Linked DNA regions of Diceros bicornis minor. The protein of the gene in region 1 interacts with the protein of each later gene in a pairwise test. Links are inferred from orthologs where the notes say so. Each region holds a gene or a part of one and is shown in the gene's direction. Other genes may lie near its edges.

Region 1 (7,672 bases):
CCAGTGTTGTTTTGCTAGTATGGGTCTCGTAATATTTATTCTTTGTAAGATTTGTTCCAGGCTGGGTACCTTTATGAACTTTTTGGGGCTGTTGTTATTGTCATCTCTGTAAATCTTACGGTAACCCTGTGAGATGGCAGGTGGGGCAGCCCACTCTGTAGAGGAGGAAATGGAGGCTCAGAGAGCTTGGGTAACTTGTCCAGGGCCACACAGCTAGGAAGTAGGTGAGTCTTTTTGACCTCAGAGCCTGGGGAGTGTGAGCACAGCTGAGGAGGCCCTGGAGGCCTGTTCGTGAGGGAGCCGCTGCCCTGTGGCACCACCTGTGAGGGCCCGGCCGCGGGGAGCCCCTCTGTGTTGGGATTGCTGCTGAAGAAGGGCAGCGAGCTTCACCAGAGCCGGCGCCGGCTCAGTCACGGACCGTTCCTCAGTGAGCAGTGCCCCAGAGCCTGGGAGGAGGCCCGGCAGCGCGAGTTCTGGCCTCATGGGGTCACCGGAGCCGGGCGGGCGTGTCTGCGGGCCTCACAGAGGCTTCCCTGGGGTGAGGCCCCGGCCTGTGACAGGGACTGCCCTGGTAGCTCCCGAGTGTGGGGAAGGGGAGCCAGGGAGGGGCTGAGGGGGCCGGCCCATGTGCCTCTCGCAGGCGTCCACCGAGCACGGCTCCTGGCCAGGCTCTGTTCTGGGGGCCAGAAACGACTGAGAACAGGCCAGTCCCCCCTTGGGAGTGACGTCCAGTGAGAGGCACTGTGTAAGTCGATGGTCGGGAAGGGCCGCTGAGGGGTCATCCGAAGGCTGGAGGAGGTGTGGGAGGGGCCTGTGGGGTCTGGGGAGAGCGGTCTAGGCAGTGGGAGCAGCATGTGCAAAGGCCCTGAGTGTCTCCTGCGGTTGCATAACCGCTCTGGCTTTCTCGTCTGCTGGACAGGGACTGTCCCGGGAGCCTCGCCTCCCTGGGGCTCTGGGCACCGGCGCTGCTCGGAGCAGGTGCTAGAACGAGGGCGCCCTGTCCTGCTGCCGCTCCCTCCGTCTGCAGCATCTGTGCTTCCACGGAGACAGCGAAGACCTGGGCCCCGCTCGGCAGTGGCTCCGGGTGCTCCCCCGGGCTGGGGACCGCTGCAGCCTGACCCTGCCCCTCCTGCAGGGTGGGCTTGGGCCCGCCCCAGTCCCCCCCTTCCCGCCCTGACCTCGTGCTGCCACGAGCTGCAGCTGGCTGGGCCCGAACCCGGGCCTCTGGGTGAGAACCCTCCCATCGCAGAGGCACCGCCTTGTCCTCGTCCTCTGTGTCCCCTGTGCCTGAGGCTGCAGCGCCACACCCCTGCCTGCAGGACCTCTGGCCAGCGACCCTACAGGCCCCACTTCATGCGGCGGTTCAACAGATCGCTCCCCAGTCCCCAGCCCTTCCCTCCAGGGGGCAGGAGGGCTGTCCCTGCTCCTTCCCTCGGCGCCTCCCGGGGTGGGCCGGGGCTGCCGCCGCCCTTGTGTGCTCAGGGCCCTACCTGGGGCCCAGCTCAGCAGCCGCTGCACCTCCCTCCTGGGCCCTGAGGGCGCGTGCGCCGCAAGCACAGGGCGTGGGGTGACAGCGGGCAGGGAGGGTGCAGTGGAGGGGAACCCCAGGGACTGAAGACTGGGGAGCACACACGGGGTCCCCCACGTTAGTCCCTCAGTTGTGGGGGTGGGGGAGGGACCTCTGCAGCTCCCTGCCCTGGGACTTTTTTTTAATGAATGATTGGGGCCTGTTTATTAGACCCCCATTTAAAACAACTTATTGATGTGAAATTCACATGATGTAAAATTAACCCTTTAAAAGTGAATAGCTCAGCAGCATGTGGTACATTCACAGTATTTTGCCACCACCACCTCTGTCTAGTTCCAGAACATTCCATCACCCCAAAAGAAGACCAGGTCCTCGTTAGCCACTCTCTCCCACCCCCAGCCCCTGGCAACCACCCATTTGCTTTCTGTCTCTCTGGATTTACCTTTTCTGGACATTTCACATAAATACGTGTCTGGCTTCTTTCACCTAGCGTAATTTTCTTTCCCCACCTCACGTATCTTTCACTTAACTTTTTATTTTGAAATAATTATAGAGGCACAGGGAATTGCAAAAATCATATGGAGAGACCTGGGTACTCCCCATAGGCCTTTCAGACATCTCTGGGGTTTGGGGGATTTGGGGGCAGGAAATGGAAGTGAGGACCCATTCTCCCTCGGCAGCCCTGAGCTGGGGCACCCCCACCCCGAGGGCGGGCTTACCTCTGGGAGGGCGCCGGCCGCTCCGCTCCTCTCCTGTCTTCTCCTCTCTTCTCCTCTCCTCTCCTCTCCCTCCTCCGGCCTCGGGCGGGCCTGGGTGCAGGGCCCCTCTCCCGGCTGCCCTCCTGCCGCCCTGAGTCCTCTCCCGGCGGCTGGTCGGGGCCCCCGACGGCGCTGCTCTCCTCTGGGCTCTGGTGCGGTGTCCCGGCAGGGCAGAGGGTAGGGTTTCAGCCCCCCCGCAGCTGGCCACCGCGGAGAGGGGCTGGTTGTATTTTAAGCTGCTGAGTGGTTCAGCAGGAACTCGGGGGCCTGCTCTCCTGGTCGGCTGGTGCTGTCCTCCTGCGGGCCCGTGGGCTCCGAGGGCGTGGGCGCTGCCCGAGGGGACCCAGGAACTATTAGTATACCTGCAGCCACGTGGCAGGCCCTGTGCCCGCCTGGGACCTGCTGTCCCAGCCCTTCCTGGCACATTCCTCGTGTGTCCCTCCCCCTCCCACGAGTCCTCTTGGTGTGGCCAGAACTCCGGGCAGTATGGCCAGCTCTCCCTTTCTGGCTCCTCGTTTGGCTTTGTCATCCCTGTGGCTCGGAGGGTTCAGTCGCCTGCCTCCCAGGCCACATGGCCGGTCAGGGCCCACAGCTGGCGGCGGACGCTCTCTCGCCGGTAACAGTGGGCAGCATCGGCTAGGACTTCTCAGGTGCCGGGCCGTGTCCTGCCCTCCCGTCCACGAATGTGGGGCGGGCGCAGCAGAGACTGGCCCCAGCGGGAGGGTGAGGGTCTGCCCCCGGCCCTGCCCTGCGCTTTGTCGCAGCGCCACGGCCTCCTCAGCCCGTCCTCAGGGCCCGAGGCCTTGGGGCACTTGCACCTGTCAGGCACCACGCCGGTGCCTCGCTCGCACTGTCTCACGGAACCCGACTGCCCTGGGGTCACACGCCTCCCCGCACTGTCCCTGGCTGAGGCTCAGAGAGAAGTGACTGCGTGGCGAGGCTGGCTTCGGGGAGCCCCCCTGTGCTCCCAGCACCCCCTCCTCTCCCACTGTCCCTGGGCGTGTGTGAGGGGAGCCCTTCCCTTCGGGGGGGCTCTGGGCGCCGGGGAAGTGGGCCTGCGCTCAGAGAGCCCTGGTGGGCCCAGCCCTGGTTTTCGTGTCCTGCTCCTCCTCCCCATGCTGCCGCTGACCGAGGGCCCCCCAGGGGCTCTGGGCGTGGGGAGCGTCCTCAGTACCTGCCGGCCAGAGGCTAGCTTGGGGTCAGACCCAGCCTTGCCTGCCACAGCCCCGTGTCTGATAGGATCCAGGCCAAGCCCTGCACGGGGCACTCGGGCCTGCTGTGATCCACCCACGCCCCTCCTCTGACCTGCTTGGGGGCTCCCTCCCTCCCAGCACTGCCCCTCTGCACCCCCACTGTCTGGCCCCTGCCTGGGTGCTCAGGTAGAGAGGCTGGGCAGGCTCCTCTCTCAGGGCCTGGCGCTGGCCTGGCCCGTGGACCCAGGAGGTGCAGGGAGGCCCAGGCTGTGTGCTCTGGGCTTTGAGGAGCTCAGGGTCTGGATGAGGGTGCTGTGTTGGGCTGACACTCGGGAGGATGGCCCTGAAGGTGGCCTGGAGCAAGGCGTGGGTGAGAAATGGGTGGAGAGGGAGGTCGGGAGCAAGTTGCCGAGGCCTCACCAGCTAAGGCGGGCGTGTCTGCTGGAAACTTGCGGGTTCCCGAGCCTTTCCACACTTAGAGTCTCTGTGCACCAGCAACTCCGGAATCTGTCACCTCCCTGGAAACACAAATGCACGAGGAAAGTAATCCCGAGTGGCTTTTACAGCTCAGGAGGGGAAACGGATGCTCTATCTCACAGGTTCTCAGAATAGCTGGGATTTCTCCAAGCCCAGTGAGCTCTGCGGGCCTGAGCTGGACACTCACCAGCTCACCCTCCTCCTGGCACTGGGCCCCCACCCGTGGGCAGCGGGGCTGGGAGGTGCCTTCACCCCCATCTCTGGGCATCTCCCTGTCCCCGGGGCTGTTGGGGGCCGTGTCCACTGGAAAGCCTCACTTTCAGGGCCATCCGGCCCTGGGGGGCTGCCCCAGGCCCCCAGTGGTCTGTGTGTGGTCCTGGGGCCCGGTCTGGGGCAGTTTTATATTTAGCCGTGGCTGCTGGGCCACTGGAGTGGCGTCTGCAGAGCGCCAGGGCAGGCGCGGGCTTTTCTCCAGCACCGCGGCAGAATGTGATTGCGCCAGCCCGGCCCAGAGCCGCTCGCGTGGGGCGGTCCGTGGTGGGGGCTGACGGCCGGCAGCTGGGGCGCTGGCCACGGCCGGCAGAGCGGGGTAGCATGGATCTGAGCATGAGCTTGGTGGCCCGGGAGGCCAGCCAGGGCCTCGGCCCCGGCGTCAATGGCCTCCCCCGGCCCACGCCCCCTAAGGCGGCCAAGAAGCCTAAAAAGGCTGTTCTCTTCTTCGAGGTGGAGATTCTGGACGCGAAGACGCGAGAGAAGCTGTGCTTCCTGGACAAGGTGGGACCGTGGCGCTGGCTGCGCTGGGCCCGGGACCCACTCTTGCTGGGGCTCCTGGCCCCGAGGGAGAGGGGAGTCCCTCCACCCTGGGTCATGACTCCCCACCCCTGCCTCTCAGGGTGCATGAGGGGTACTGTCCCTGCCCAGCCAGTCGGCCCCCAGGGTAGAGTGGGCAGTCCTGGCCCTGGGTGTGGCCGGGAGCTGGCTTCCTCGGGGCCTGGGAAGGAGGAGGCGTCCTGAGACCTGCCCCTGCCGAGGCCAGGCCAGGGGAAGGGGCTTGTTCCGTCCCAGGGGAGGCCTGGCCTGGACAGAGGGCCTTTACTCTGGGGCAGCTGTGGGTGGAGGGGAGAGGCAGAGATGCAGGTCCCGCTTCCCGTGCTCAAACCGTCTCCCAGCCAGGCGGGGCGTCCTGGCTGCCTGGTAAAACCAGGCCCTCAGGCCCACGGCTGTCCCATTCTGGCACGGGCCTTGCTGCTCCTCTCTGCCATGCAGGTGGGGGCCTGGACCCCCACACCCCCCTCCTGTAGCAGCTGCCCTGACCCCAGTCCATGCCCTCCAGGAGGGATCCTGGATCCTGGTGTGGACTCCCCCCAGGGCTGAGGTCCCTGTGGCCTGTGCTTCCCCCAGGTGGAGCCCCAGGCCACCATTGCTGAGATCAAGAACCTTTTCACCAAGAGCCGTAAGTCCAGGGCCCAGCCCACTGCCTCCTGCGACCTCTCTGAGCAGGGGCCTCTGGGTGGAACCGGTCCTGCCCGCCTCTTGCCCAGGGCCTGCAGAGATGGCCCCAGTGTGGCCCGGCTTCCCTGGGACGGGTGCCACCGTGTGGCCATCGGCAGGAATGCCCTTGCTGGGCTTTGGGAAGGGCAGCACCTGCCTTTGTCCTGCTCGTCTGGGCTGTGTCCGGGAGCCACACAGGCCTCACAGGCCTTGTCTTCTGAGGGGCCGGGAGCAGCTGGGGGTCCCTGGGCCCCGCCAGGCTGTGCACGGTGATGCTCCGCTCTCCCCGCAGATCCGCAGTGGTACCCTGCCCGCCAGTCCCTCCGCCTGGACCCCAGTGAGTACAGCTGTCCCTCCACCGCCGCTGGGCCCCCCCCCGGGGGCAGTGGGCGGAGGCCTGGACGCCCCTGAACCCTGGCCTGCCTCTCCACAGAGGGCAAGTCCCTGAAGGACGAGGATGTCCTGCAGAAGCTGCCTGTGGGCACCACGGCCACACTTTACTTCCGGGACCTGGGGGCCCAGATCAGCTGGGTGACGGTGAGTCCCACCCCCGCCCTGGCCTCCTCTGCCATCAGCCACATCAGGGTAACTCCCTGCTCCCCTGCCCCCAGGTCTTCCTGACAGAGTACGCGGGGCCCCTTTTCATCTACCTGCTCTTCTACTTCCGGGTGCCCTTCATCTACGGCCACAGATACGACTTCACGTCCAGCAGGCACACGGTGGTGCAGTGAGTGGGGCCGGGCGGGAGGGCGGCGGCGGCGGGGGGCCTGCTGGACCTCCCCGCTGAGCCGGCTCCCCCTACAGCCTGGCCTGCATCTGCCACTCATTCCACTACGTCAAGCGCCTGTTGGAGACGCTCTTCGTGCACCGCTTCTCCCACGGCACCATGCCCTTGCGCAACATCTTCAAGGTGAGCGCCCGCCCGCCCCCGCCCCCGCCCCCCGCGGCCCTCTGTTGGACCCCAGACACGCCCCCCCAACCCCGCGCACCCGCGGGCCCTCCGCTGGACCTCAGGCCTCCACCTGGCCCTGTTCCCTTTCAGAACTGCACTTACTACTGGGGCTTCGCCGCCTGGATGGCCTATTACATCAACCACCCTCTCTACACGCCCCCCAGTAAGTGGCCTCCGACCCCGCTCACCCCCGCCCCCGCGGGCCTCCCTTCCCCGCCACCGCCTCTCCCTCACGGGCCTCCCCTCCCCTGTGCTTCCCCTTCAGCCTATGGAGCTCAGCAGGTTAAACTAGCGCTCGCCATCTTTGTGGTAAGCGGGCTGGGCCAGATGACGGGTGGGGGGCGTCTGGGGGCTCCCGGCTGACGCTGCTCCTCCGACAGATCTGCCAACTTGGCAACTTCTCCATCCACATGGCCCTGCGCGACCTGCGGCCAGCTGGTGAGTGGCCTGGTGGGGTGGGGGGGTCGGGCTGGGCAGGCCGCGCTGTGGGGGGGCGGGTCTCACCCCTCGCATCCTGCCCGCCAGGGTCCAAGACCAGGAAGATTCCCTACCCCACCAAGAACCCCTTCACGTGGCTCTTCCTGCTGGTGTCCTGCCCCAACTACACCTACGAGGTGAGGGTCTGCCAGCCCTTCCGCCGGCCCCGGGGTCCCCTGTGGAGAGCCCGCCTCTGGTAGGGCACCTGGCTCCGCTGCTGCTTTTGCGCTCTGACCTTGGAGGATCTGGCGATGCAGAGTCTGCAGCTCCCTGGGGGTTGGGGGGCGTCAGGCTCGGCGTACAGCTGTTGGCGGCCGAGGGGCAGCTTCATCACGGACCCCCTTATTCGAGGTCCCTCTAGCACTGGCCTTCGGTTCCCACCCCCACACGGAAAGTAAGGGTTGGGGGAGGCGGCCCAGGGGTGGGCGGGGCCTCGGGAACAGGGGCGCCGCCCGCCCGCCCTCACCCGCGCTCTGCCCGCAGGTGGGGTCCTGGATCGGCTTTGCTATCATGACCCAGTGTCTCCCAGGTGAGCTGGCTGCCCGCCCCCGACGCCCTGCCCGGCTGGCTGCGCGGCCCCCCTGACACCCGCTCTGCCCCACAGTGGCCCTCTTCTCCCTGGTGGGCTTCACGCAGATGACCATCTGGGCCAAGGGCAAGCACTGCAGCTACCTGAAGGAGTTCCGCGACTACCCGCCGCTGCGCATGCCCATCATCCCCTTCCTGCTCTGAGCGCTCTGGTCCCAGTCCCCGAGCCGTCGTCGTGGGGGAGGAGCGGGGCCCCGCCCGCAGCGTC
Region 2 (8,031 bases), on another chromosome or scaffold:
ACAACAGAAGCAGAGATCGGAGTGATGCGACTGTGAGCCAAGGAATGCCAGCAACTTCTAGAAGCTGGAAGAGGTAAAGAATAGATTCTCGGGGCCGGCCCAGTGGCGCAAGCAGTTAAGCACATGCGCTCTGCTGCGGTGGCCCAGAGTTCACTGGTTCGGATCCCGGGTGCGCACCGACACACTGCTTGTTGGCAAACCATGCTGTGGCAGCATCCCATATAAAGTGGAGGAAGATGGGCATGGATGTTAGCACAAGGCCAGTCTTCCTCAGCAAAAAAAAAAAAAAAAGGACAATTGGCAGATGTTAGCACAGGGCTGATCTCCTCACAAAAACATAAAAATAAAAAATAAAAATAAATAAAAATAAAAAAGAATGGATTCTCCTTTGGAGCCTCCAGAAGGACCAGCCCTGCCAACACCTTGATTTTATTCCTGAAAGAATCATTTTGGACTTCTGATGTACAGAACTGTTAGAGAATAAATTCCTGTTGTTTCAAGCCACTAAATTTATGGTAATTTGTTACAGCGGCAATAGGAAACTAACACATGGGAGTTGATTTTTCTTTTCAGATAATATCTTCAACCTATAACTATATTTAAGAACCTGATTCATTATCACGTCTTAGTTCAAATTTAACTTCTCCAGTTTAGCACTCAAGGCCCAACTATTTATATAAACTCATTTTTATCACCTCACCCTGGTTAGACTTCTGTAGACATGGCTGTGTCCTATTACATTTCTTACCTTTTATCTCCCCTCACTTTAACGACTTTCTACCTTTTGATAACACATCCCTTACTTTCTTTATGATTATGTTCAAGACACTTCTTCGATAAGCTCTTCCTGACTTCTCTCCTCTCACAACAATAACTGCTGCGCAGTCCTCAGATAGGCTGTTTACTTGGATCTCTCTAACCTGCTCAGCGTCCTCAGTTGTTCTTTGAATGTAGCTACTCTCCTCATATGAGACTGTAAGATACTTGGAAGCAGATAATATGCATTCAGTATCTGTTGTTTTAACCTGCTGTATTAGTTTTCTGTGGCTGCTGTAACAAATTATCACAAACTAGGTGGCTTAAAACATATTTGTTCTCTCACCATTCTCAGAAGTCTGAGATCAAGGTATTGACAAGTCTGCACTGCCTCTGGAGGCTCTAAGGGAGAATTCATTTTCTGTATCTTTCACGTTCCAGTGGCTGTCATCATTCCTCGATTCGTGGTGGCATCACTCCAGTCTCTGCCTCCATGGTCGCATTGCCTCCTCCTCTGTGTCTATTTTATAAGGATATATGTGATTGCATTTAGGGCCCATCTGGATAATCCAGTATTATCTTCTCATCTCAAGATCTTTAATTTAAATATATCTGCAAAGACCCTTTTTCCAAATATGGTAACATTCACAGATATTTGACATCAATATCATTAGAGGGAACATTTTTCAGCCTACCATACCTGCCCAATATCCATCCCCTTCTTCTGGTAATAACTCCCTTATTACTTCCTGAGGAACTACATCCCCCTAATTGGGGGGGATGTATAAACTCAAATCAAGCAGTTTAGGTAAAGCCTCCCTCCTCCCACTATAGGTATACAACAAGGACCTGGCCAACCAGCATATTCTATCCCCTTTGGCCACAATGATTGACCACGGGCATGTGACTCAAGCTAGTGCGATTACTTTCCAGGACTTTTGTCAGAACAAATGGGAAGGAGACATGGTTTTTGTTCTGGGACCACTTGATTAAGCAAAAGGAATGTACTGACTTACTTGCTGGGAAAAATAATGAGATAATCCTCAAAATCGAAGGAAAAGCATTAGGTACCAGGCTCAGGGACTAGAACCAAGACTCAGTGCCCCCAAGACACATGCTCCCTCTCATGTCTGCTTGATTTCTTTCTATTAACAATCTCTCTCCAAACGGAAGGCAAGATGTTTGTCTGGAGCCAGGCGCACATCCTCTTATCTTTAACAACCCTGGCAAAAAGACAAACACTACACCCCAGCATCCATATATCAATTTCACAGAAGGACTCTGATGAGCTCTGCTTGCGTCATCATAGTCCTAAGTCTTAAAATAATTACTTTTGCTAGAGAAACCATGATTAATGACTGTGTCATGTTGCCAGGCAACGTGTCAGGCAATGAGGGGGAAAAACACAAACATAAACAACTCAAACAAACCACCACCACCGAGAAAATACCACTATTCCTGTTTTATAAAACTCGTAGTCTAGAGGAGAAAAAACATCACACAAAAAAATATAAAATTACTGTGGTATATGTGATGAGAAAAAGTACATGGAGACCATAGCAGGGAGAATAATCCATTACAGAAGTTCAGGGAAAGTGATAGCAGAATTTAGATCAGAAGGAGGAAGATAGGGATGGAGATTGTTCTAGGCAGAGGCAATAACATGTTCAACGTCCTCATGGCAGAAAGGAGCATTGCTCACTGGAAGACCTAAGATAAAACCAGTATGTCTAGGGAGAGTATTGTGTGACGTGAGACTGAAGTAGGTAGGGGCAAGACCAGGCACATTATTGTAGGCCACGTTAAATATTTTATACTTTATCTTAGGTGTCATTAAAAGCCACTTAAATGTTTCAAGGGGGTGGGGAGAGGGAAGATAGTGGACACGAACAAGTTTGTATTTGTGACTGTACTGTAGAGGACAGATTGGAGTTGGGCCTAAGTGACTGTAAGAAGATACATTGAGTTTTAAATTGATTTCCAACTGACAGAGCTTTATGCATTCCTGCCTCCTACTTTCCCATTAAGTGGTCATATTAAAAAAAAAAAATCATTAAATGAATGAAAAACGCTTTTAGAGGAGTGATTACTTGCTCTGCAAAACCGCTCACTTCTTTATTTCTTTTGTAAATTGTTTTCCCTCTGAATACAGTCTGCAATTTGAGTACACTAACTTGCTCTTTAAAGAAGTAAGGAAAATCAGACAACAGAACCTCTACACAATCTGTGGGGCTGTAGAGGATGAGACCCTGACAGTTGTTTAGTTGCTGTCTCAATCTGTAGATGTCTCATGGCTCTAAATACCATCACCACCCTGATGACTCTCAAATTTATCTCTAGTCCACACTTCTTCCCTGAACTTCAGTGTCTAAATCTAATTGTCTATTCAACTTTTCTACTTGGATGTCTAACAAAGATTTCAAACTCAACAAGTAAAAAACAAAATTGCTGATTTCTGTCTTCAAAATCGCTTCTTCTAGGGCGCCAGTCTGGTGGTGTAGCAGTTAAGTTCACGTGCTTCACTTTTGGCAGCCCAGGGTTTGCAGGTTCAGATGCCTGCCACAGACCTGTACACCTCTTATCAAGCCATGCTGTGGCAGGCGTCCCACGTATAAAATAATGGAAGATGGGCACAAATGTTAGCTCAGGGCCAATGTTCCTCAGGAAAAAGAGGAGGACTGGCCAGGGAGGTTAGCTCAGCGTTAATTTTCCTCACTAAAAAAAAAAAAATCACTTCTACAATTCAATTTTTCCAACTTGCTCACAATGTCTCCTTTACCTCATACTCCACATCTAATACATCCACAAATCTTATCAGCTCTACTCCTAAAATATGTCCAGAATTCAATTGTTTTCACCACCTCAAGCAAGACCACTCCGGCCCAGACCACTATCACTACAGCCTGGATTATTGCAATAACTTCCTGATATCAGTTTTCCACAACTAATACATATTTATTTTCTTCTGGCTCCCTCTATATAATCTCTGGGAGACGGAGGACTTGTCTCTTTCATTTGGCGCCAAGAACTCCAGGGCAAGCTTGCAGACGTCCCATAAATACTTGATGGAATGAATAAATAAATATTTTATACCACCACATATACAGTAATTCATTTAAGGAAATGTTTGTGTGAAAATCGACGGTAAGGGACTTTTACAGAAACTCCTAGAACAAAAAAAAACAGTGAATGGAAAATAGGGTCAGCTGGTTAAAGCAGTTTCCACAGGCAGACAGGTTTTCCCCGTAAGCCAAAATCTCTCTATTTTTGGCCACTGTGGGTGGAAAACTTCTTGCTCCACTCGGCACCTCACCCTCAGCCGACTGCCTAATAACCTCACCCTGGTCCTGCCTGCTGGACGGGGGAGCCCACGAGGCCTCGGGCTGGAAGATGCCCTTGAGCACCCTCCAGGCCTCACGGATGACACTGGATCCTAGGCACACAGGCGACTTTAATCGGACAGTAAAAGGGGCAAACTTCTCGTTGACCTTCTCCACTCTACTACTAACTTAAAATCTAAATGCATAAATGCAGGGACGAAACCTTTGGAGACTGAACCTTCAACCTGGCCACTGGTTAAGGAGCAGAGCGCACAAAGCAGAAGGGCTATTCCCGGCCGGCCTCTGGGGTTGACGAGAAGCGAAGTCGTCAATTGCCCTGACGCAAAATAGCAGATCACGTGTATAGGGGTGAAGATAGGGCCATTGGGAGAAGCCAAGATGAGAAGCGAGAACGAAAGCATCATTTTCTTGATCCAACATGGAGGCGGAGGTTACAGGAGAGAGAATGGCCAGGGACGACGAAGCATCCACTTGGCAGAAACAGCAGGCCTGGCGAAGAAAGCCAAAGGCGACACTGACCTAATCCAAGATGGCGCCAGAGGTTATTACCGGGAGCGCAAAAGAGGCGATGATGACCCCGATCCAAGATGGCGGTGGCGTGTGAGGCGCGCCGAGGGGCGGGAAGCGACAGGAGCGCCTTTGCCCTCCTCCAAGATGGCGGCCGCCGTGGGCGCTGTCCCTGGCTCCGCCCCGCGGCCGCGGCCCCGCCTTCCCCCGTTCTCCTTTCGCCGCCTCGCAGCGCCGTGTCCGAGCGGTGATGCTCGCGCGGGGAGAGCGGGCTCCGGACGCTTGACATGGCGGCAGGGGCGGCGACTGCAGCAGCGAAGGGGAATGGGGGCGGCGGAGGCCGGGCCGGGGCCGGCGAAGCTGGCGGCGCGCGGAAGAAGAAAGGCCCAGGGCCTCTGGCCACGGCGTACCTAGTCATCTACAATGTGGTGATGACGGCGGGGTGAGGCTGGGGCTCGGGGAGGGGGCTCTGCGGCCGGCGGGGCGGCCCGGCCCGGCCCGCGTGCAGCGCATCCCTGCCGGGGCGTGTGCGGGACCCGGCACCCGGGCGCTGCGGGCAGCGAGCGCTGAATCGGCCCCGGTGCCTGCCCAGGACGCCTGCCTGCGCGGGTGGCCGAGCAAGTTCACAGGCGCGGGCGTGCGCCGAGCTGGAGTCGGGGGCTCCGGGGGGCACGGGGAAGGCGGCCCGGGCGCTGGTCTGGAGGGCCTTGGGAGGGCGGCTGGGCTGGCCACAGGGCCAGGTTTGGGGGCCGGGCGATCCTGCAGCGCAGAGGAGAGCCCAGGCGGCGTGTCACGCATGGCGAGCTCTTCCCCCAAGGGGAGTGGAGGAAGCTGTGGCTGCAGAGTGACCATTTGTTTAGGCGGCTGTTTTCAAAAGCCAGGTTGAACTTTAATCTGGAAGGTAATGGAAAAACGTTCAAAGTTTTTGACCAGTGACGTGAGCAGGGCTGTGCTTTAGATGAGTTTAGACTTTTTAGGATGGATTGGGGTGAAGAAGATACTGGGGGTGGAAGGCAGAGTTACTGGGGAGCAGGGAAATAGACCCTCGAAACGGGTTTTACCCCCTCTTGTTCCCCCTCATTGCCCTTCATCCTTTGTCACAGAGGGTTTTTAGTTCTAGTTTTAACACTAACTAGCTGTGTGACCTTGGATAAATCACTTTATTTTTCATGGTCTCCGTTTTTTCATCTGTAAAACTAAGGAGTTTGGGTTAGGTGATCTCTAAGCTTCTTCCGGTTCTTTGAGCCCATGGTTTTGGTGAGGAGGACCACAGAATCAGACTATTTGTTATGTATTTTTGAATGACATTCATTTGTAAAAAAAAATTAGCCCTACAATTTTATTATGAAAATTTTTAAACATGCAGAAAAGTCGAAAGAACTGTATAGTGGGCATCTGTTTTATTTTTTTTTTTTATTTTTTTTTTTTTTTGTGAGGAAGATCAGCCCTGTGCTAACATTCGCCAATCCTCCTCTTTTTTTGCTGAGGAAGACGGCCCTGGTAACATCTGTGCCCATCTTCCTCCACTTTTTACATGGGACGCCGCCACAGCATGGCTTGCCAAGCAGTGCGTCGGTGCGCACCCGGGATCCGAACCAGCGAACCCCGGGCCGCCGCAGCGGAGCGCGCGCACTTAACCGCTTGCGCCACCGGGCCGGCCCCATGTTTTATTTTTTAAATAGGTACTTCATTGGCAGGCTGCAAAATTCAAAATATACACAAAAATGTACAGTGAAACTCTCCTCTCACCCTTCCCTTCCACCCAGATCCCCTCCATGGGGGCACTCATTTTGTGTATCCTTCAGATGCTGATACAAGCAAATATATACATTCCCCCACCCCCTCCCCTTTTTTTAAAACACAAATGCTAATGTCATACTAGCGTTTCAGCACCTTGTTTTTTCACAAAAAAATATCTTAGGAGGATCATAGGCTTTATTGCTAGTATTAGAAATGGCGGGTGTTGAAACCTAGGCTCAGAGAAGTTGTGACCTGCTTGATGTCACAGAAAGTACAGTAGGCCCCCCTTATCCTCAAGGAATACGTTCCAGGTCCCCCAGTGGGTGCCTGAAACCACAGATAGTACCAAACCCTATATGTTACTGTTTTTCCCCATACATTATATCTATGATAAAGTTAAATTCATAAATTAGGCATGATAAAAGATTAACAATGACTAATAATAAAGTAGAACAATTATAACAATATATTGTAATAAAAGTTACTGTAGACCTTAGCAACGTCAGCATACGATTTTTTTCTTTCCTCATTAAGTCAAGAACTCTCACCTTTTCACTTAAAGGAAGCACTTTATGGCTCCTCTTTAGCGTTTCCGAATTGCCAGCTTCACTGCTGTTGCACTTTGGGGCCATTATTAAGTGAAATAGGGTTACCTGAACACAAGCACTGCAGTACCACTACAGTGGATCTGATAACCCAGAGGGTACTAAGTGACTAAGGGGCCGGTACATGCGTGTATCCGCTGGACAAAGGGAAGATTCACGTCCTTGGGGGACACGGAGCAGGACCACGAGAGATTTCATCAGGCTACTCAGAACGGCACAGGATTTAAAACTTATGAATTGTTTATTTCTGGAATTTTCCATTTAATATTTTCAAACTGAGATTGACCACAGGTAACGGAAACTGTGGAAAAGAAACGGAGGATAAGGGGGGAACTACTACTATAGGAGATCTGGATCTAGAACCTTTTTCTCTTGACTCACAGGCCAGTGAAGATATGTATTACAGATGCAAGTTTCTTTATCACATAAATGGTCACAGAGTGATTTTTTAAAAGAACATTCAGGAGTGTGTGTATTTATACTTATACATAAAATTCTTAGCTCAGCAAGGGTGTTGATGAGACTATTGGACTGGAAAGAGGTGTTAAGTTACACTGGGGAAGAAGGAAAAAGGTCTTTATTCCTGGGTGATGAACATAGAGAGTGGGGTGGAGGTATCTGAAACCAGGAAGAGAAATTGGGATTGTGAGAGTAAAGTAAGCTTTTTTGTAGGCTGCTAATTCTGGACCAGTTACACCATTAAGGAATCATTTCTCTTTTAATAAACATTTATTTGATGTCCTTAGATGATAGTTTCTACAAATAACATAGACCACCTACCCCATTACCTAGTTGAGATTGTACATTTATGTAAATCGATCGCTGCTTTCAAGGAGAGATACCTTAATAATAAAGGTCCATTCGTTTCATTATGGAACTTAACAAATAAAAAATTACAGGGCCTGAGAAATTTATTTTTGAGAGGGACATAGAACAGAAATATAATGTTCACTGTGATATGCCTAAGTGCTTCCCTGTTTTGTATTTTGTATTGGTCTGACTTTCTTTACTGAATTGATTTTTGAAACTTAGCTAAAAAAAAAAAAACTTTTATTCTTATTTCACTTATAATTTTAAAAGGA

Evidence for each region.
Region 2: the proteins of TECR (region 1) and HACD2 interact in binary tests that used the Homo sapiens proteins (3 or more experiments, as listed by UniProt). The link is inferred for Diceros bicornis minor from reciprocal best matches to the Homo sapiens genes TECR and HACD2.

Annotation. Positions count from the first base shown.
Region 1 is NC_080769.1:3,349,367-3,357,038, reverse strand, and holds the start of TECR (very-long-chain enoyl-CoA reductase), read left to right. Parts: upstream 1-4,535; 5' UTR 4,536-4,550; coding exon 4,551-4,730; intron 4,731-5,357; coding exon 5,358-5,409; intron 5,410-5,739; coding exon 5,740-5,784; intron 5,785-5,880; coding exon 5,881-5,984; intron 5,985-6,058; coding exon 6,059-6,174; intron 6,175-6,251; coding exon 6,252-6,357; intron 6,358-6,489; coding exon 6,490-6,562; intron 6,563-6,664; coding exon 6,665-6,708; intron 6,709-6,779; coding exon 6,780-6,837; intron 6,838-6,924; coding exon 6,925-7,013; intron 7,014-7,359; coding exon 7,360-7,405; intron 7,406-7,480; coding exon 7,481-7,608; 3' UTR 7,609-7,672. UniProt on the Homo sapiens protein: Involved in both the production of very long-chain fatty acids for sphingolipid synthesis and the degradation of the sphingosine moiety in sphingolipids through the sphingosine 1-phosphate metabolic pathway.
Region 2 is NC_080754.1:24,640,581-24,648,611, reverse strand, and holds the start of HACD2 (very-long-chain (3R)-3-hydroxyacyl-CoA dehydratase 2), read left to right. Parts: upstream 1-4,859; 5' UTR 4,860-4,891; coding exon 4,892-5,046; intron 5,047-8,031. UniProt on the Homo sapiens protein: Catalyzes the third of the very long-chain fatty acids (VLCFA) elongation four-step cycle (condensation, reduction, dehydration, and reduction).